Linked DNA regions of Drosophila melanogaster. The protein of the gene in region 2 interacts with the protein of the main gene of each other region in a pairwise test. Each region holds a gene or a part of one and is shown on either strand. Other genes may lie near its edges. The genes, in order: CG5674, CG6276, CG32633 and CG3517.

Region 1 (5,354 bases), on a different chromosome or scaffold from region 2:
GCAGGCCTCATCCAGGGCTATGAATTATCCCCTCTTGTTTACATTGAACTATTTTTGGGGGCTCTTTCCAAAAGTCAACGAGATGAGTCCAAGGTCTATGATTGTCTTGTACGAAGTGTTTATATGAATTTAGCTAGAGCTACTTCTAGAGATAGCCAGCTATCCTTATCCTTGTGGGTTTGTCATCAGGCATATCCCGATAGATTAAACCCCAAGGAGTGGGAGCTGTTTGTGAACAATTTCATGGGTAGTTCTGATGGCAGTATGGTGCTAAGTCAGCTTGGAAAACTGCCCGACTGCATGCCCAAGGAAGCGCAATTAAAGCTGGCTATGTTACTCCAATTGTTCCCAGATTTGCGAAGCAAGCTCCAGTTGGAGAAGGACTATATCTGGCGCGGATTCATTGAGGCTCAAGCGGATGATGTGCTACGTAAGTTGTAGAAATAATTTAGTTAATTTCATCTTATTCAGATTTATTTTCGAACTTACAGCTGCGTTGGGGTCCAGCTTCCAGCGTGTGCTTATTGCTCAGATTTTCCGACCCGACTTGATGCTTCACCAACTGCGAAAAGTGAGTAGCGATCTGCTGGGAATTTCCCCAGATGCCTCCACCCAACCTTCTGTGGAGCAGTTGCTGCAGCAGAGCAGCTGTGATCGCCCGATTTTGATGGTTAGTCATGCGGAAAATGATCCAACAACTGAATTGAGAAAGTGGGCCAATCAAAAGTATAGAGAAATGGCTATTGGAAAAGGTGTTGAGAAAAGAGTTCTCTCCGAAATGCGTCAGGCTGCCATAGATGGCCACTGGTTATGCGTTAAGAATGTCCATTTGGTGCCGGAATTTCTAACTCAAATGGAAAGGGAATTAAGTGAAATTCAAAAATCGAAAGACTTTCGATTGTGGCTATTGTGCGAATCAACCGAGGGATTTTCCGAAGCTGCCATTTATAAATGCCTTAAAGTACGTTATGAGCAGCCTAAGGGACTAAAGCAGATTGTGATGCGTTTGCTCCAGAACTTCGCTGCTGAACAGGATCAAAAGCTTAAAAACCAACCAAAGAGCCTCAAGATGAGACTGGTTTATTTTGTCCTAACAGCTGTGCTTCAACAAAGGCGACAGTTTATACCACAAGGTTGGTCAAAATACTATGAATTCGGTGAGGCAGATCTAAAAGCGGCTCTGGGTATCCTAAGAATGATGGATCAGCAACTTAATTCAGGAAAATGCGATTGGTTGCTGATGCAACGTCTCAGTGAAGCCCTCGCTTATGGCGGAAGAGTAAATAATCAGAGGGATCTGGAGATACTCACAACCTATCTGAACCAGTTTTGTTCAGCGGACGTCTTAAGCAATCGTTGGTCACCTCTTGGATTATCTCTATCCATACCAACTAGCGGTCAACTGCAGGACTACTACGCTGCATTGGAGAAACTTCCTGACACAGATGAGCCCAGTATGTATGGTTTGGCCAATCAGGCACAACAGCAACGCGAAATTGAACAGGCCAAAAGAGTGATAAAGGAACTCAGGGGATTGCATTACGGAAGAGGCTTGGCTAAGGATTCTGGAGGAGCAGGAGAGTCTAAGGGAAACGATCAGCTCACTGGTCGTCAGAAGCTGGAACAGCAAATTAAACCCCTACTGAATCTATGGAGAAAGTTGGCGGCTTCGTGTACCATAATCCAGACTATGAAGGAGGCAAAAACTGATGTGGGTGAATCTCCCTGGGCACTTTTTGTGCTGGCTGAACTGAAACTAGGGGCGGATCTCTACGGCATAGTTCACCAGACTTTGTCGCAGATGCATGCCTGGCTTAAGGAGTCGCAGGAGGTGGATGGCAGCACTCTGAGAACTCTGGCAGAACAGCAGGTAAGAAACTGGGGTACAGTAACGTAACTTGAAAATGCATAATAAACTGAAATTCATAGATTCCTGCCAGTTGGCTTAAACTATGGCCTGGACCTGGCAGCAACAGTGCCGTGGACTTTTTAAGAGCCCTAATCGTTCGAGCCCAGGCTGCCGAACTTCGATTCCGGGAGCAAATGCATCTGGATTTTGTAGAGGATATCAATTTCGTCCAGGTGTTTAACTGTGAGAACCTGTTGTCCTGTTTAAAGCTGCTGCAGTCTCGAAAACTGGCAGTTTCCACCGAACGCCTGGAGTTGCAAACTTGCGGCTCCTCAAACTTGGAAAGTGATTCTTCGGACATAATACTCAAGCTGGCGCCGCTAAAGGTGAGTAAGAATTAGTATCTTTAACCGATAATGTTTTGACATCAAGTTGTGAAATCAAATTCAGCAAGCCACTTACTCATGATTCAAGGGGTTATGTCTTCTATGTCTTCTTCTTTAGCGACTAAGAATATATTTCGAAGCCATAAAAGGAAATTTAACTAATCGCAGGATAATCAGCCAAGAAATTGCCATAACTATAATATTCGCGGTAGATGGCGCATTGGTTAAGTTGGGGATAACCATTAAATATCATAAGCCCTCGAGAAGCGTTACAGTAAATACAATAAACATTGAGAAATAATTTTGGGATACATTTTGCCAGGTTGCTATATCAGATACAATTGGATGCACACGTAGTAGTAGTAACAGTAACAATACTCTGTTACGGATTACCTGGATAGTAGATATGCATACATCCATAGTCCAAATTGATTCCCCCAATCCAAAATCCCAAAAGATACTTATTTATCTTTTGGGACGAAGACTGATGACATCTTCTCTCCCTCTTGCCCGTTTGCTTCTTGTCTTTGTTCCTCACCTTCCCCATTTTGGCCATAAAATGTGTCTCCATCGCCGTCTCCATTCTGGCCGTTTCCATAGCTTCCGTATCCGTAATCCTGCGCCTCCTGTTTTCGGTGCGCCGCCGCCGTTCAATGCATCGAAATTAAGCTTGAAATGTGCACTGGATGCCCGTTCTTTTCAGTTTTCTCACGCCGCTTTTTTTGTTTTCATTTGATTGACATTCCGGTACAAGAGGGGGAATTAGAGATGGCACCTTGTCCGATGCCTATCGATAAGCAGTTCTGAGCACAAACTTACATTTTACTTTCCCTTCTCGTTTGTATATCTACGTATTCGATGCCAATCGATAATCGGTTTGGAAGCTGACTATGGGGAGTGCATCCGCTATGCCCTGATGGGTGTACCTGCTAGAACTAACACTGTAAAAAAACAAATAACTATTTTTTTGTATATACATTTTAGGACTTGGAGAATAAACTTTGCAAATCATCTACCCGCTTTTCGCCTTTTTTTTTGTTTTTAGCAATTGTGAATATATGTAATGTGGAATATATCTAAGTATTTCATTAGTAACTAAACTTGGCACTATTCATTTTCCATTACAGATTGATGGCGCCCAGAGTGGAATGGGAAAATCGAACCCCTTCTACATCAAGTACAAAATAAAAGACGAAGTACAAAATGTCAGTCATACGACTACTAGTTCCTCAAAATACGGCAAAAATTCGCTATATTCCACGCAAAATGCTGAATCGAAGCCCAAACTCCCATTATATTCTCGGAGCAGTCGCGACAAATTGATTTGCCACCTAAATGTTGATATTGTGACCGGAACTGCGGAACAAATTCTCTTGGCCGGAACAGCGCTAATAGTCGAAGATTATTAAACACCACTCAATATTATTTTATACCAATATATTTCAAATATATATGTAGAGAAGCGAAGAATGTGTTGGACTGACACTTGAATAGCAATTCACCTTCGCAAATATTAAATAAAAACCAAACGAAACTCTTTTAACATTAGTTTCCTACCCTTGACACGCTGTCATTTGGGTCCCAACTAATTCTAAGTAAATATTTAAACAACTAACAATTAGGCAGCCAAAGGCAAACATAAAAATGGGCCATTAAACATTTAAGGCGAGGACTTAGACTCTGAAGAGCTAATTGATTTCCATATGTCTCAGTGTCTGTGTTTATTCGGGGATGCCCCTAAAAATTAATTTGCCACCGCCGAAGGGATTTTATTGCGTCCTGTGTCCCTCATAATCTGCTCATATTAAACTAATTGCCGTAAATTTCAACAACAAACTGCCATAAATGTCGGGCATACTTTTAGTTGCCAAGACATCCCCGACATCCCCCAGGCCCAAAACCATTTTACCGTCAAAAACTTGTCTTAACTTTAATTAAGTGGCATTATGTTCAATTAGGCAAAAGTTTCCAATATGCAAATTAACACAATTTGAGTGTAAAGTGCCTCCCGGTACCGAGAAGGGGGCGTGGCAGCCGGCTTCTGTGGCATATAAATTGCCCTCCGCACAAATCACAGTGCCTCGTATCGGTGGGCGTGGCAGTTTGTTAACACATTTTGCAAATTTAGCTATGCAGACTTCTCAGATTTTGTTGTACGCCTTTCCCAACTTGTTGTGCTGTCGGCTATTGAGAATAAATAATTTATTACGCTTCAAATGGAAATTTAGTTGCGGATTAAGGAATTAGGCAGCGCGATAAGGCTGAAAAGGTAATTGAGTAAGGATATAAAGTGAATGTGTATATCAAAAGATACATAAACTCCGCTCCGAACTTCAAATCCAATTAGCTACAAGGAAGAACAGTTTAAAGACCTCCTTCTTATGCATTTAGGCTACATAAAGATCAATTTCCAAAATATTCCCAAGCCGCAACCACATTAATGAGGCCCTTAAACTATTTCACCCGCCGCAATGCTGGATTACCAACTTAACCAAATAGTTCATCGCATTTAATGTTAAAAGCTTGTGGTTTTGGTTGATTCCAATTCGCATTGAATAATCCCCACAAAGTTGCAGCTTAATTATGTGCCCGCCCCAAAATCCCCAAAAACTTGCATTGCCGATTAAATTTTGAATGTCTAATTTGCAGTTGATGGGCAGGCGAATCCGTACTTTACACTCAAATGCACAAATTGATATCCTCCTTTGGCTTCTTCAGTGTTTAGTGTTTGACAAATGTCGGGGCCAAGCGGCCACATCCTTGTAATCCTTGCCAGCCTACAAGCAACGGCGTCGCCATCTAATTGCAGCCGCCTTCAATGAGCTGGGATTAGAAATTAATTAAAGTATAAGGCTAATGTGACATCTGCATGTGTTTGCCGCCCATTTCCTGGTACATACACACGAATATGTCCCCACATCTGCCATAAATGTAAGCCCACCAAATGTGATTAATCAGTTTGCACTCATGCCGCACTTTTGACTTTGCAGCTGGGCTTTGCCCTTTGTCAGTGAGTCTTCTTTGACTTTGGCTCCTCTTCCGGACCCGGGATGCCATTTAAATGGCAATTCCCCTTTACCATTCACTTGAATACCACTTACTCCATTTATTGGGTGCTC
Region 2 (4,608 bases):
GTGATAGGCGGACCGAAGAGGGCAGAGAAGGCATTGCTCTTTCCGGGATCCTCGCTGCGCGACTTGTGTTTCTTGCCGGTGTTTAAATCCGAGTTCATGGATATTGTACCTGGTACGCCTTTGGCTTTGACACCAGACATCTCATTACTGTGCGCTGTCTCACCGCTGCCAACACTGGGCGAAAGCGTTCGGGCGAGACTGCCGGCACCGATGTTAGCTCCGAACACTGGCACTCCACCGCCTCGCATAAGTTTCGTGCGAAACTCCTCCGACGGCGCCTCGAAAATGTGCGTCTTTACCTCGACGTGGTGCTGCGGTGGACCCGTGGACTGCAGTACCAGGTCGTACTGGTAAACAATGCGCTTGGGTTCGTCTCGGTTGCGAAAGTAAATCTCAACAGGCAGTAGGAAGCCAGCGTAGCCGGACTCCTGAATGGCATACGGCGGTTCCTTGACCACTGCAAATAAACAATTCGGGTAACAGAGTTAATCCGACTGAACTACTCCCATGATATATCGCCGCATTTACCTCGTTTGGGTTTCGGAAAGGATTCGTGCAGCACAAAGACCACCTTCTCCACAAAAGCACTGATGTCCGCCTTGTTCACGCCCTGAACGTAGATCTCCCAGTCGTGCGTAAAGGCCTGCGGATGCGGTGTCTTCTTGCTGCGCAGCTTCGACGTGTGGCCAATTTCGAATTGCACCTTGACCGCCATGCCTGTGGGTAGGGCATCAAGTTCCAGTGATTGCCTGCAATTAAGTGGTGAATTAAGATGCTACGTATTAGCGCGCCAAAACCAATGCAACTCGAGTGTGCAAGCACTTAAGCTTGATGCGACGTAAACAAATGATCGCCAGTTATGTGGAAAGGCCCAATGGATTGCCAAACGAGGTGTTAGCCAAGTATTGCGCTCCTTGCTTTCGCTTCAGTGTGCATGCGTGATTTCTAATGCGAATCCTGTGGCAGGTCACGTCCTCCAAGTCTGCGCCTGGCTTTGGAAACCTTTCAATCGGTCTCAGGATGCCCGCACTAGCTACCACATTTTGAATATCCTTTGATAACCGACGTTTTTTGTTATGATTCGCTTTGCGTTCAATTTGTTATTGTTTGTGAGCGAATGTGTGCCACAATGTGGACTTTTCATGTTGCAAGCTTTCGCCGTGTTTGTGGTTTCCTTTAGCCACATGCCCCCACCAGCCACGCTTTATACTTACTATCGCGCCGTGCGGCATTCACATGGAGATGCGCACAATTTTCAGAAAAAACGTAAAAGCTTGGAGCCAGAATCGAAGTAAATTTTGGAAAAACACAGAAAATAAAATCCAAAATGGTAAAGTGTGACCAAAGTTCGGGGCACCAAAAAATACACTTGAGTCGGGTAAAATATACTAGAATATGCGTTGCGTTTACTTTTTCTAGGGTGGCTCGTGAAATTAGTTTTAAATATGTACATATATCTAGTTTAAATTCATTCAGATTTTTAACTCGATGCATTTTTTAAAGAATAGAGTGCTTTATTTGTTTCTTAGTAGAAAAAGTATAGTTTCTTGCCACATGGTCCTTGGGGCCCATTTCCGCACGGAACTGGGGATGGTGCCGCCGAAGTGGTTGAAGTATCAGAGGAGGCTTCCGTCGTGGTTGTCGAGGTGGAGGATGCAGCGAATCCAACGATGGCGCACAGAAGGAACAGAATGGCGAAGAACTTCATCTTGATTACTCTTTTGTGACTGTGATATTTTCCCGGGGATAGTTGCTCAATTTTATACCTTTCATTTTTAGATTTGCAAATATTGACACAAATGCTTCAATTCCGCCTATGTACCAAATATCAAGAGAAAAGAAACAATTCGGCAAACACTGCGTGGTACTTAAATAATGTGTTTTGTGTTTGTTTAGAAATAGCAACACATGGAATTTCGCTTTTTGCCACTTACAGGTTAAGCTTTTAAGCATAGCACGCGGATTCAGACAAGATGATATATATATGGGAAATTTTTATATTGCATGATCATTGTTTTTAAGGAACCCGCATAAACCAAAATAGTCAGCAAAAGCTTCTGTGATCCGGAACCAGTTCGGCCGCCTGTTTGGTTCACAGCACTTAAAAGAACACTTGGGAAAAACAATAAAAATATTTCGCAAAAGTTATGGCGAACGCTGGATAAGTCAGCCAAAAATTGAATCCATCGGAGCGACTGCCTTGGAGCCACAGCCCACCCATGATGACGACCGACTTCGCGGGCAGCCAGTTCGTGTCCAGCAATCCCAACACCAGCTGTAGTGCATCCCGCTGGCTAACGGAGGAGGTATTTGCATGGATATGCAATTTGAAAATGATTTGATTCACATATTTCTGTTGTTCTGTAGGTCTTTAAACTAATCGAAATTGTGCAGCGCGACGAGGCCATCTACAATCCGAGGCACAAATACTACTTTTGCCGCCCGTACGTGGAGAACTTTTGGCGCGAGGTGGATTTGAAGCTGGAAAAGAATCCGGGCGCCAGTCTGGCCAAGTGGACCAATTTGCGCATCTCGTTCCGACGAGAGTACACCAACTATCTGGAGGAAAAGGTGCCACCCTGCTGGTCCTACTTCGACCGCATGTTCTTTCTGCATCCGTATCTACGCAAGAAGCACCAGCAGCCCAAATCGCTGGACACACAGGTGCAGGACGCCCTGGCACACCTCTCGAACCTTTCTAGTCGTATGCAGCGTGAGCGTTCAGTGACCATTCCGGGCAGCAGCAGTATTGGTGGCCAGCCCACGCCCTCCGCCCACCAGTCACCACCTGCACAGCAGCTGGACAACTATCTGGACTACTTTGACGAGGCGGAACACAACAACTCCGAGCTGGATGACATCATGGAGGAGGAGCAGCAGCGCAACAGTCGTTACCACGGCCAGTTGGACGGCAACGACATTAAGTCGGAGTGCGAGGAGCCGGTGGATGACTACGAACAAGAGGCGCACGAGCCCGAGGAGGATGAACAGGATGACCAGGACCTACACAAGATGGCGCCTACTTCTAGCTCTTCATCGGCGGAGGCCCAGCGTCGTTATGCCAACCAGCATTCACACGCCAGCCGAATGCTTCCGGGTCGCCTCCAAATGCGCACCTACCATGACGAGATGCGTGGCGCTATTCGTCCGCGTTCCCAGGAACTCCAAGCTCCAACTGCAGCAGTGGCCGGGGTCAACTACTCCGCACAGCCGACTGCCCATCCAAACATTTCGTTTGTGCGACCTACTTTCAGCAAGCCCGTGGATTTGGTTAGCACTACAACGCACGCCGGAGGCGGAGGAGGAGGAGGTGTTCCAGGAACTGCTGGCTTATCCGAAGCGGAACTGCCCACACCATCCACTGCGGCCGTGGCCACCCCGATGGCGCCCAGTAGTAGTGTTAGTGCCAGCAGTAGCAGTAGCTACTTGAGTCAACGGCATGGGCACAACCATATGCATGGAGGACATCCACAGGTGCCGCCGTCAGCGCTTCCTCTGCGTTTGGAAGCCAACAACGCGTCCGGCGGATCCGTGTCCAACGGCGGTGCGGAGCTGTGCGACTGCAAGACCGATCCGGATGCCATGTTTCTGATGAGCCTGCTGCCCGACATCCAAAAGCTGAACGGCCGTGATCGCGGCAAGATAAAGATAGCCTTCCAGAACATCCTGCAGGACTACCTGTATCCGGATTAGCGTTGATCTCTGTGTATACCTTCCGCTTAACGCAAACGGAACCCAGTTCCAGTATCGATTTTGTTTAATATTCTCTTTTGTATTTTCGTTGGAGAAAAAAAAAGAATCCTTTAAGCTTCGCTGTGCAAGAACAAAGTATCCTTAAAAACGTTTTGAAAACTATCCGGTATGTTTATTAATTGTATAAATATTTATAAATATTTAATGTGTAACACAAGAATAAATTCATTTGAAATTATGCGATATATGGCTAGGTAACTTGAAGTATCACATGAGGATCGGAATGGGTTGCATCCCATCCTCACTCGAACAGCTTCAGCTCGCGGGTGATCTTCTTGATCTTGTTGTCCAGCGTCTTGTCCTCGTGCTCGCAGATGTAGTAGTGCCGCGAGGTGCACTCCTGTCCGTAGTACACATAGCTGTGCTTTCCGGCATTGTAACTTAGCCGTAGGCAGCGACCCTTGCCCTCTATTTGCACCGTGTTGTTCAGCACATCCTCGCCGGTCGCCTCCTCTGCCGCCTGCTCCGAACTGTCCACCAGATTGGCGGCCGTCGAGTTCTCCCCCTTCTGGGCCATCGCAATGGATGTGAGATTCATGTTGGGATTCACCGGCTTAGCCGAATTGGACCAGATCCAGAGGAGGCCAGGATTGAGACCGCCCAGCCAGTAATCGCGACCACGATGCGTCGGCTGATTCAGCAGATAGGCCATGATCTCCTCATTCTCCGAGACCTTCTCGAACTCGGCCAGGTGGGAGTTTAGACCCTTGCAGGCAGAGTTTGCCGTCTTCCAGTTCACCTGCTGCTGGCTGTTGATGTAGTAGCAGTTGTCGCTGATGCGCGTGAAGTTCGCGGGACAGGGATCCTTCACCTCCTTCTGATTGTTTCCGGCCATCAGATAGTAGATCAGCTGCT
Region 3 (4,498 bases), on a different chromosome or scaffold from region 2:
TCTTTCGTTACTTGCCGCGCCGCACGCTCTTCCTCTTACACTTCCCAAAGCCCCTTACCAATTGACCAATGGCATCGGAATCGGAATCGTAAACAAATGCAGCGCGCTCGCACTCTTCGTCACTCGAATGCTTTCGTCACGTCACCGTGTTCTCGCTTCTTTTTGCAGCAAATATGCACTCGATTCGCACTTTTCGCGACGACAACCGATTTTGGAGCTGTTTGGGGGCAGAGTGTGACCGTCGGGCGCAGCGGGCTGCACGTCGACTGCGGCGTCGCTGAAATTACCTAAAATATCTGTATGGCGCAATGGTGTGGCGTGGTGTTTGGTTACTACGCTGGAACGGTCACACTGGAAAAGAAAGCTCAATGCATTTAGCCAAGACAGGAACCAGTCGAAAGCTTAAATCGCCAGCTGTCGGCGGTTAGGCAAACTGCTACGGCTCGACTTTCTCCAGCTCGTCATAGGTGGCGCCACGGTTAGTGCAGATAATCATCTCATAGGTGGCGCCAATGATAGTGTTAAGATTAAGGCCTTTTAGCAACTTTCCTATAAAATAAATTGCGAAAAAAAGTATTTCCATGGGAAACTTTGTGCTGTCAAATAAGTGCTTAAAACATGTATTGATTACAACGTGTGCACATTAATAAGCTATGAAATAAAACGCTACGCCCGCCACTAATGAATTGACTTTAACTTTATGAAACGTTTTAATAAACTTTTCAATATACAAAGAAAGTTACAAAGAGTTTCGATACCTATAACTTTTTACCTCGGCAGACGAAAGGTCGAGTTATAAAGCATCGAGTGCATATATGTACACATTCTGATAACTGCGATATCTGTCTGAGTTTTACGATGCAGTGTTTGTTAAGTCAGTGGGCGAAGGCAAATGGTTAATTATGTTACAAGTTGACGCAAATTTATGGCCAACTAATCAATTGATTGTTGCTAATTGATAACCGATGTGATAACATAAGGCCCGCATATAGAAGAAATTCCTCACATCCGCAATACCTCGAAATTTCTATGACAACCACTTTGAACTATTATCACCAAAACTCTATGAAAGGGGTACTTTTTTTTTAGAATTACTGGGTGCATTACCATAAATTTTATCAGTTACGTTGCTCGATGTCGATCGAATTAAACTTAAATTTATACTTTAATCTGTATACTTCTGTTGTGTGTGTAAAAAATAGATTTATTAAAAAAAAAATGGAATAAAGGCAAAGCTGTCCGTCTAGATCCTCACCAGAACCTCGTAATTCTCCAGACGCACCTCCTCGCCACCGAATGGGATGTAGATGCAGCCGTGCGAGGGATGGATCTTGCCCACACTCAAGCTGTCGCAGTAGATGGCCCTGCCGACGTAGAGGGGCTCCCCGTCGACATTCGGACCGGAGGACAGGGCTCCGGGAGCCACATTTCCGTGCGAGGCCGGAACCCAACGGAATCCGGATCCCGTCAGCACCTGGACGTCGGTGAGCTCGTGCTCCGCCTGGGCATAGGCGGCATAGGCTTTCCCCTTCGCCGGCACCACTTTGGCTGGCAGCAGATCACCATTGCGGAACACCCTGCCCACGTAGATGGTGTCCCCGTTGGAATCGTGCCCAGCAACCAGAGCTCCATCCGGAATATTTGTTGCGGTGGTGTCGATCCAACGTTCCGGCTGGCACAGCACCTCGTAGGCAAAGATCTTAACCTCATCGGAATCGTAGGGAATATACAGGCAGCCGTGGGATGGATGCACCTTGCCCATGGTTAAGCTGCCGGCATGATAACCCCTGCCCGCATACAAATACTCGCCGTCCACATTCCGACCAACTTTGACGGCGCCCGGCGGCACCTCCCCGTTCTCCGCCGACAGCCACTCGTAGTTGTAGCCGGAAAGCACCTCGTAGTTCTCCAGCTCGTGCTCCTCGCGCGCATACGCCACGTAGGCCTTGCCCTTGTTGGGAATCACCTTCGCCGGCAGCATGTCGTTGGAGAAGAAGGCACGGCCCACGTAGATGGTGTCCCCGTCCGAATCGTGACCAGCCACCACGGCATTCGGCGGCACGCTGCCGTTGCTGAAGTGCATCCATCTGTGGTCTGGGGGATAATGGAAAAATGAAACGATTATTTAACAGCACACCGAATGGTATAACTCTTTAATTCTGTTGTTCATGGCAAGTAAACTAGTTTATTTGGCTAGGCCAAGTTAGTTTCCAAAATTGAATTAATTTATTTTGAGTTTCAACTGATTAAGTACTTTAAAGATTGGTAACTGTTTTATATCATCCACCTAGTTAAATGTTTTCATTTTTTGTTATGGCATCTTGGCCTTACGACCTATTTACCTGCCATTTTCTTGTCCGTTCTTCAGCAGCTCTGACTTTCAACTGTGAAAGTGGTCGATTTGATGGTCTTTTTGTGTTTCCGCCTCGATGTCGCTGATAGGGCTTATCGGGAATATACCTACATGGCCAGATAAGAAGCCCGACCTCAAGTGACTCAGATCTTGGCAAACTCTTGTTGAATTTCTAATCGATTGGCCAATTGGAAGTAATGGGGTTTAACATCGAGAAACAGGCAAGTTTATTTTATTAACCCATATAGTGAAAGTAAATATTGCACTAGAAATGTTATAAATGTTAAGTAAATTTGATTTATATTTTATTTTTTTATCTCGTTATAATTTATACATTTAAAATTCTTTCGAGTCGTCAAGAATGTAATTGCATTCATAATATCATAATGGTTATTACTTTTTTTTTTGTTGCCGACAAACTTTCTCGCTTATTGTTTGTTACATATAGCATATACATATTTCATGGAGCTGTAGTTAAACACAAAAAGTTTATTCCGCTTTTTAACATACTAATAACAATAGCTTGCGCGTTTACAACTCGTGGTTAACCAGTTATCTCGTTCATTTGTTGTGCCACCTTTTCGAGTTGCCTTACATCCGTGCATGTATCTCCATTTAACCGCCCAATATTCGCCAATTTGAATGGGGGAATCGCTTGATCCTTTATTTATTCGCCACATTGCAAATTTCTTGCGCGCGCTTTTCCGCTTTCCCACTTTTCCGCATTTCCACTCGTCCAGTCGTCCACGCACTTCACTTATTTAGTGGTCGCTGTCTTTGCAGTTCGTTTTCGTTCGTTTTCCTTTTGTTTTCCCAGCATTGTTGCCTCTTTGAATGATTTTTCTTGTTTTGCCTTTCAAGTGGATCACTGTTTTTTGTTTGCATTTTCGCCCATTTACAACTATTTGAACAAGGGAAAACGTGGAAAGCTGGGCGCAAAAGTTAAGAGGGGTTGCTGAAATTGCTGTGCAACGCAACGTTTGCACCTGTTTACAGTGGCTTGTGAATTCCCAATGCTGGACTGGTGGTAGGGGCTGTGTGGGGAGTGTCATTATTAAGCTTTACGATTTTTCCACGATTTCCCAGCAGCTTTGCGCGCCCTGCTCTCGAGCAAACCAATTAACCAGAGATAAGTCTAACTTGACTTCAAACTGGGTAAACAAGCTGCATTCTCGAAATACGCAAAAATGTTGCAGATTATAATACTTTAAATCAACTTTGTTCGGTTTTCGTTGTGCATCTTCTTTTTGTGGGTATGATGTTTTTATGCCACTGCAGCCTAATGAATTTGTTTTCGCCCAGCCAGGCTCCATTTGGCTTTGTGCAACGTTTTAACCTCATTTTGGCCTCTTTATTTAAACCCCCCCCCCCCATTTCTCTGTTTGGCCAACTTAATTTCACCTAATACATTTTAATCATTTCCACAGTACCACGAACTAAATGCCCTCCTTCATTAACCCCTTGCTGCTCCAACCCATCTATCTGTCACGCTTTCCGCTCTCGATTCGCATCCGTTCTCCATGGGTCCATCTTTGCTGGTTATACTTTTCTGGTCGCTTTGCTTATCCTTGCCACACTGTGAAAAATAAAGTTGGCCACACCTGGTTCAAGATTAACATAGCTCCTTAGTTCTCATCTTGATAAGAATACTACTTCTCTATTAATATTAAATTTAATTGTGTTATTTAATAATCCAACTTTATCAAGTACTTTAAATACATACTCCCAGTTTTTTTGCAGTGCATTTTCTATTGCAGGGCCAGTTGCAGTCGCGGTTTCGCTTTCTGGCCACACAATGCGGCAGTTTTTCGAGGGTAGCCAGGGGCGGCGAACGCAGGAGGGTTGCTTCTGGGCTAGGTGCATCCTGGTTTCAGGGGCCATCGCCGTGGGTCACATCCAGACGCACACATACATATGTATGTATGTATGTATGCATCCAAGCATGGACTCGCACTGTCTAGTCGTCGCCGGTCACTCACGTGGGTCTGCGGTTGCGACTGGTCTGGCTTTGGCTTTGGGCTTGGGTTTGGATTCCTCCTCCCTCGCGCTGATCCGCCGTATCAGCTAATGGGTGCAGAAGCAGCGCCAACGCTTATATAACCCGCAGGAATCAGCCCCCCAACCCTTGGGCCATGCCCACCCAAC
Region 4 (4,026 bases), 4.1 Mb from region 2:
GATGCCTCTAACCCACTTGATTACACAATTCCCATTTGGTTTTAAATCAAAATGAAAAACGGAAAACTTTCTGCCCGGCAAACGCCGACATTGTTGGCCAAAAGTGTGCGTTTTGTTCGGTTGGAGAGCGAAAGTTGAGTGAAGTGCACATAAACAAAAGGGAAAGTTTTCATGCATTTGCAATGCGAAAAGTTTATCCAGGGAAGTTCAAGGCAGCAGCCGTCATGACCATGGTCAACATTTCAGCATTTTTCACTTTTCTCCAGGTGAGAGAAATGGCTGCCTCTGGGCTGCCTGAACGCTTTCCCACATTTTCACTTTTCCAGCTCAAAGAGAGGTGTTCTCCTAGGTGGGTTGCTCAGCCGCAAGTGCTGTGATGAAGTGCGCCCGAGTTATCGTCGGGCCGAGCTGCTGCATAAGCCAGATTAAATGTATTTTCCATTACTGTTGCATGCCACTTTCGGCCAAAGTAGACACAGACACCAACACAGGTCACAGCTCTTCGCAGCCGGTTTAGTTTTCCAAGTGGCCAAGAGTGTGAGTGGGCCAAATGGATGCGGCCGTGTTTGTTCGAGCTAGGTGTGTGTGTCCCCTAAGAGCAAACTCAATTTTCCGTCTTAATATAAGGCAGTTGATATGACCTCCTCACTTCCCCTTATTTTCGAGCCATTACTTTGGGTAATTAAAAGTGAAGTTGGTGGAATTTAACCAGATTCAATTGAATGAACTTCTGATTTTAAACCTTTTATTAAACATTTGAGCTACCTTAGGTCTGGCAGTAATTTTGTTTAAGAGCTATACTTCTTCGAAAAATTTACTTTTGAAAGGCTCTTAATCCTTTAATGATACCATGGCTATGTGGAACGAAAATAAAAGAAACCTTGTTTACAGAAAAGTACATAAACTAGCTTGAGTACAACTTTAATGATAAATTGTTGAAGAACAGCTGGAACTGAAAATTTTGAGAACTGCTTTCCTCAAGAGTAAAGTAAAATTTAGAAATCTAGCAAGCGCCGATTCGCAGGATCCTTCAAACTTAGGTCTCGCCCTCACCCTCGGTGATCGACGGCTGTTTGGTGGCCAGTGGAGAACCGTTTCCTTCATCCGGTATAGTGGGCACCGTTTTGCCGCCGAGGGCGAGGAGAGCCTCCGGCGACATTTCCTGGTGGGCTTCCTCCTCCTCCTCGCCCTCGCCCTCATCGAGCAGCTTCTCCTCAGGCTCCGGCGGCAGCCAGCAGGTTCCCTTGACCAGGCGGTCCTCGATTTCGGCGATCTCGTTCTTGTAGTACTGATTGAAGTCCGGCCGCTCCCATATGCTCTTGACCCACTGCAAGTTGAAGTCCATTTTGGTGCAGCAGCAGAACTTGCGCGACTTGTGGCACTTGGGGCACTTGGCCGGCTGGCGAGCAGGGTGTGTGTACTGCTGCTTCTGCTTCTTCTTGCAGCAATATGGACACACGTGCTTGGGCTTCTTTTTGTTGGAAGTGCAGGGAGTCGGTTCCTTGGCATAGACCAGATGTCCCCGCTTCTTGGCACAGAAGCAGCAGTTGCAATCGTCGCCCTCCGGCTGCCTCTTGCGCGTCTGCATGCGATCGTAGAACTTCTTGAAGGCTATTTTGATCTTGGCCTCGTATGCCAACTGTTCGGCGCAGGAGAGGCCATCGAAGCGGGCATAGGACTCGGCTGACTTCCTGGCTGCGTGGACCCAGACGCATTCATCGTTGTACGAGGGTCTGCCTTGCTCATCGTAGGTCAAGTCCACTTTCGGCTCGTAGTAGAAGGCCTTGAATCCCCTCTTGATGATGGCATAGGCCAAGTGGGCCTCCACCTTGTTCATCAGCGACTTCTTGCCCAGCTCGTGGAACAAATCCTCCTTTCTCAGTCGCTTCTTGGGCGTGGTATCAATGCAATAGCACACCTGATCGTAATGCAAGAAGGCATATGTGATAATGTCCACGGTTGATTTCGCTTTGCACTCGTGCAGTCCACAGATGATCATCACCTGGGCCAAAGTGTTGGCCAGGTCCAGGACATTTTCTAGGAAAATCGATGAGGCATTTACCTCGCCCAAGCACTTGCACTGGGTGTGCTGATCGATTATGCCCAAAGGAGCATGCCTCTGGCACTCCTTGTGCTGGCAATTATTCCGGCATCGGAAATCGGGCATCGCATGATGGGCCTGCATCGCGAATCGGTCTTACCTCTATTTTGATGCTGTTCGCTACTCCTTGCAGCATGAACAATTTTCGAATTTTTTACCTAAAAGTTTTTTTCTAACTAGTTGATAAAACGAGACAAGCCAAATGAATGTTATGGGCGAATGTTCGCCTGACAGGATTTAAAATGATCAATTGCTGCTAGATTTCGAGTTTTTCCCATTTGGTAAACTAAAACGGGAATGGAATATTTCGTTTTTTTTAAAAATAACCACAAGTGCGAAATACAATTGTTGCAATAAATCAAACTACATCCGCAGTACATTTTCATTTGTAAGTCTCTTAACAATCAAATGCTTTTCCGTTTATCAGAGAATAAAATATTCACTATTTTTGTTTGGAAAGATTGTCGTACTGTAAAGGTATGAAAACATACAACATTTTATAAAACCAAGTTTTTCTTGGCCAAATTGTGTTTCTATTCCCAAAATAAACACAAGTGTCAGATAACAAGGCAAAGCCTCAGGATTTTCTCCAAATTTGGTTACTTTCTTGGCTTTTCATGTTGTCGGGGGCTAAGCGGCATTTGATACGGCATAGATTGTTTGAGTTGTGTTTTCGTTTGTTTGCCCATTCCTTGTAGACACACGTATAAGTTTCGATGGGTCAAATATTTGTTAAGCCAACAGTGGAAATTTTCAGGCAGCCGCCAAGTAGGCGACGCGACATTTCATTTCTCTTTTTGCGGCCTTCGTAATGGATGTCCTTTTTTTTTTTTTGGGCGGGATACATTCGTAATTGTTGATGACGGCATTGAGTCAGTTTATGATTCATTGGGGAGTGAGAAATGCGTCTGGCAGTGGCATAAATAAAGTACGACATCCTGAGCTCGTTCCCAAGGGAAACGTCAGCGTAAATACATCAAAGAATTTATTAGACAAGCTTTGCCATATCCGTTTCCTGTTGACAAATGTCACGGGAACCGAAGAGTCATCTAATAACATTTATTCTAATGGAAAAGGCGAACGGAAAAAAATCGCTGACGAATGTAAATCTTCATTTGCTCAATGTCCTTCCAACTTGACCCCTTGCATATCAGGGAACTTTTTGGCCATAAGTGTAAGAAAACTGGCTTTAATCGCAGAGCACAAAAGCCCCATAATCTGTCGCAGACAAAAAAAAAAAAAAGGGAGAAAAGTCGTTACAACTTTGTTTAACTCATAATGAAATAGCAGCGCGGTGCGGTCCTGAAGATGAGCGATTTCAATCCACAACCTTCGGGCTCTTGTTTCTTTTTTCTTTAGGCTAAAATGCAACTACGTAACTCATAAAACTTGAGCAATCGCGCATAAATCTTGGCCAGACAAAATGGCCAACTGTTGTTGCCGGGGCCTTATCGGCCGGACTTCGTTAGCCGGCAATTTTTCTTGGAAAATGGAAAAGCGACCCACAAGAAATTCATATTCGTTTCTCTAACAATAAAAGTTGACAGCATGGAACGGACACGTGGCGATGGTCAGGCGGCAATAGGAGTACCTGTCTGCCGTATAAAGTTACAATCGAAACCATTTTTCCGAGCAGAAATAAAATACCTCTGGAAATTGTTTTATGTACAGCAAATGGCACGAAATGTATCTGTAGAGATTTATGCAAAACACCGATTATGTAATATTTTTTAAGGTTTCGTTTAATCGATTGATATTAGATATATTTTAATGTTGAAGATATATGCCAACCATTTTAAAAGTAATAAACTTTGAACTCTGCTTAAATTGTTACAGAACAAAAATAAGTTTGGCAAAATATCATAACGGTTGCCATATGATTAATATATATTTTATCCTGAAGTGCGAATTTGTTTGCAGGATGA

What was found.
Region 1: the proteins of CG6276 (region 2) and CG5674 interact in a two-hybrid assay, tested with the Drosophila melanogaster proteins (one large-scale study listed by BioGRID).
Region 3: the proteins of CG6276 (region 2) and CG32633 interact in a two-hybrid assay, tested with the Drosophila melanogaster proteins (one large-scale study listed by BioGRID).
Region 4: the proteins of CG6276 (region 2) and CG3517 interact in a two-hybrid assay, tested with the Drosophila melanogaster proteins (one large-scale study listed by BioGRID).

What each region holds. Positions count from the first base shown.
Region 1 is NT_033779.5:17,961,025-17,966,378, reverse strand, and holds the start of CG5674 (uncharacterized protein), read right to left. Parts: upstream 3,001-5,354; 5' UTR 2,834-3,000; coding exon 2,774-2,833; intron 2,236-2,773; coding exon of another isoform or gene 1,930-2,235; intron 1,871-1,929; coding exon of another isoform or gene 492-1,870; intron 431-491; coding exon of another isoform or gene 1-430. Other genes in the region: btv (beethoven), read left to right, coding at 1-430, 492-1,870, 1,930-2,235, 3,363-3,644.
Region 2 is NT_033777.3:15,317,525-15,322,132, reverse strand, and holds CG6276 (uncharacterized protein), read left to right. Parts: upstream 1-2,063; 5' UTR 2,064-2,219; coding exon 2,220-2,306; intron 2,307-2,367; coding exon 2,368-3,693; 3' UTR 3,694-3,930; downstream 3,931-4,608. Other genes in the region: ear (ENL/AF9-related), read right to left, coding at 1-457, 529-715; CG44040 (uncharacterized protein), read right to left, coding at 1,526-1,708; CG14866 (uncharacterized protein), read right to left, coding at 3,995-4,608.
Region 3 is NC_004354.4:13,559,562-13,564,059, reverse strand, and holds CG32633 (uncharacterized protein), read right to left. Parts: upstream 2,390-4,498; 5' UTR 2,350-2,389; coding exon 2,343-2,349; intron 2,095-2,342; coding exon 1,244-2,094; 3' UTR 701-1,243; downstream 1-700.
Region 4 is NT_033777.3:19,422,873-19,426,898, forward strand, and holds CG3517 (uncharacterized protein), read right to left. Parts: upstream 2,328-4,026; 5' UTR 2,186-2,327; coding exon 1,037-2,185; 3' UTR 907-1,036; downstream 1-906.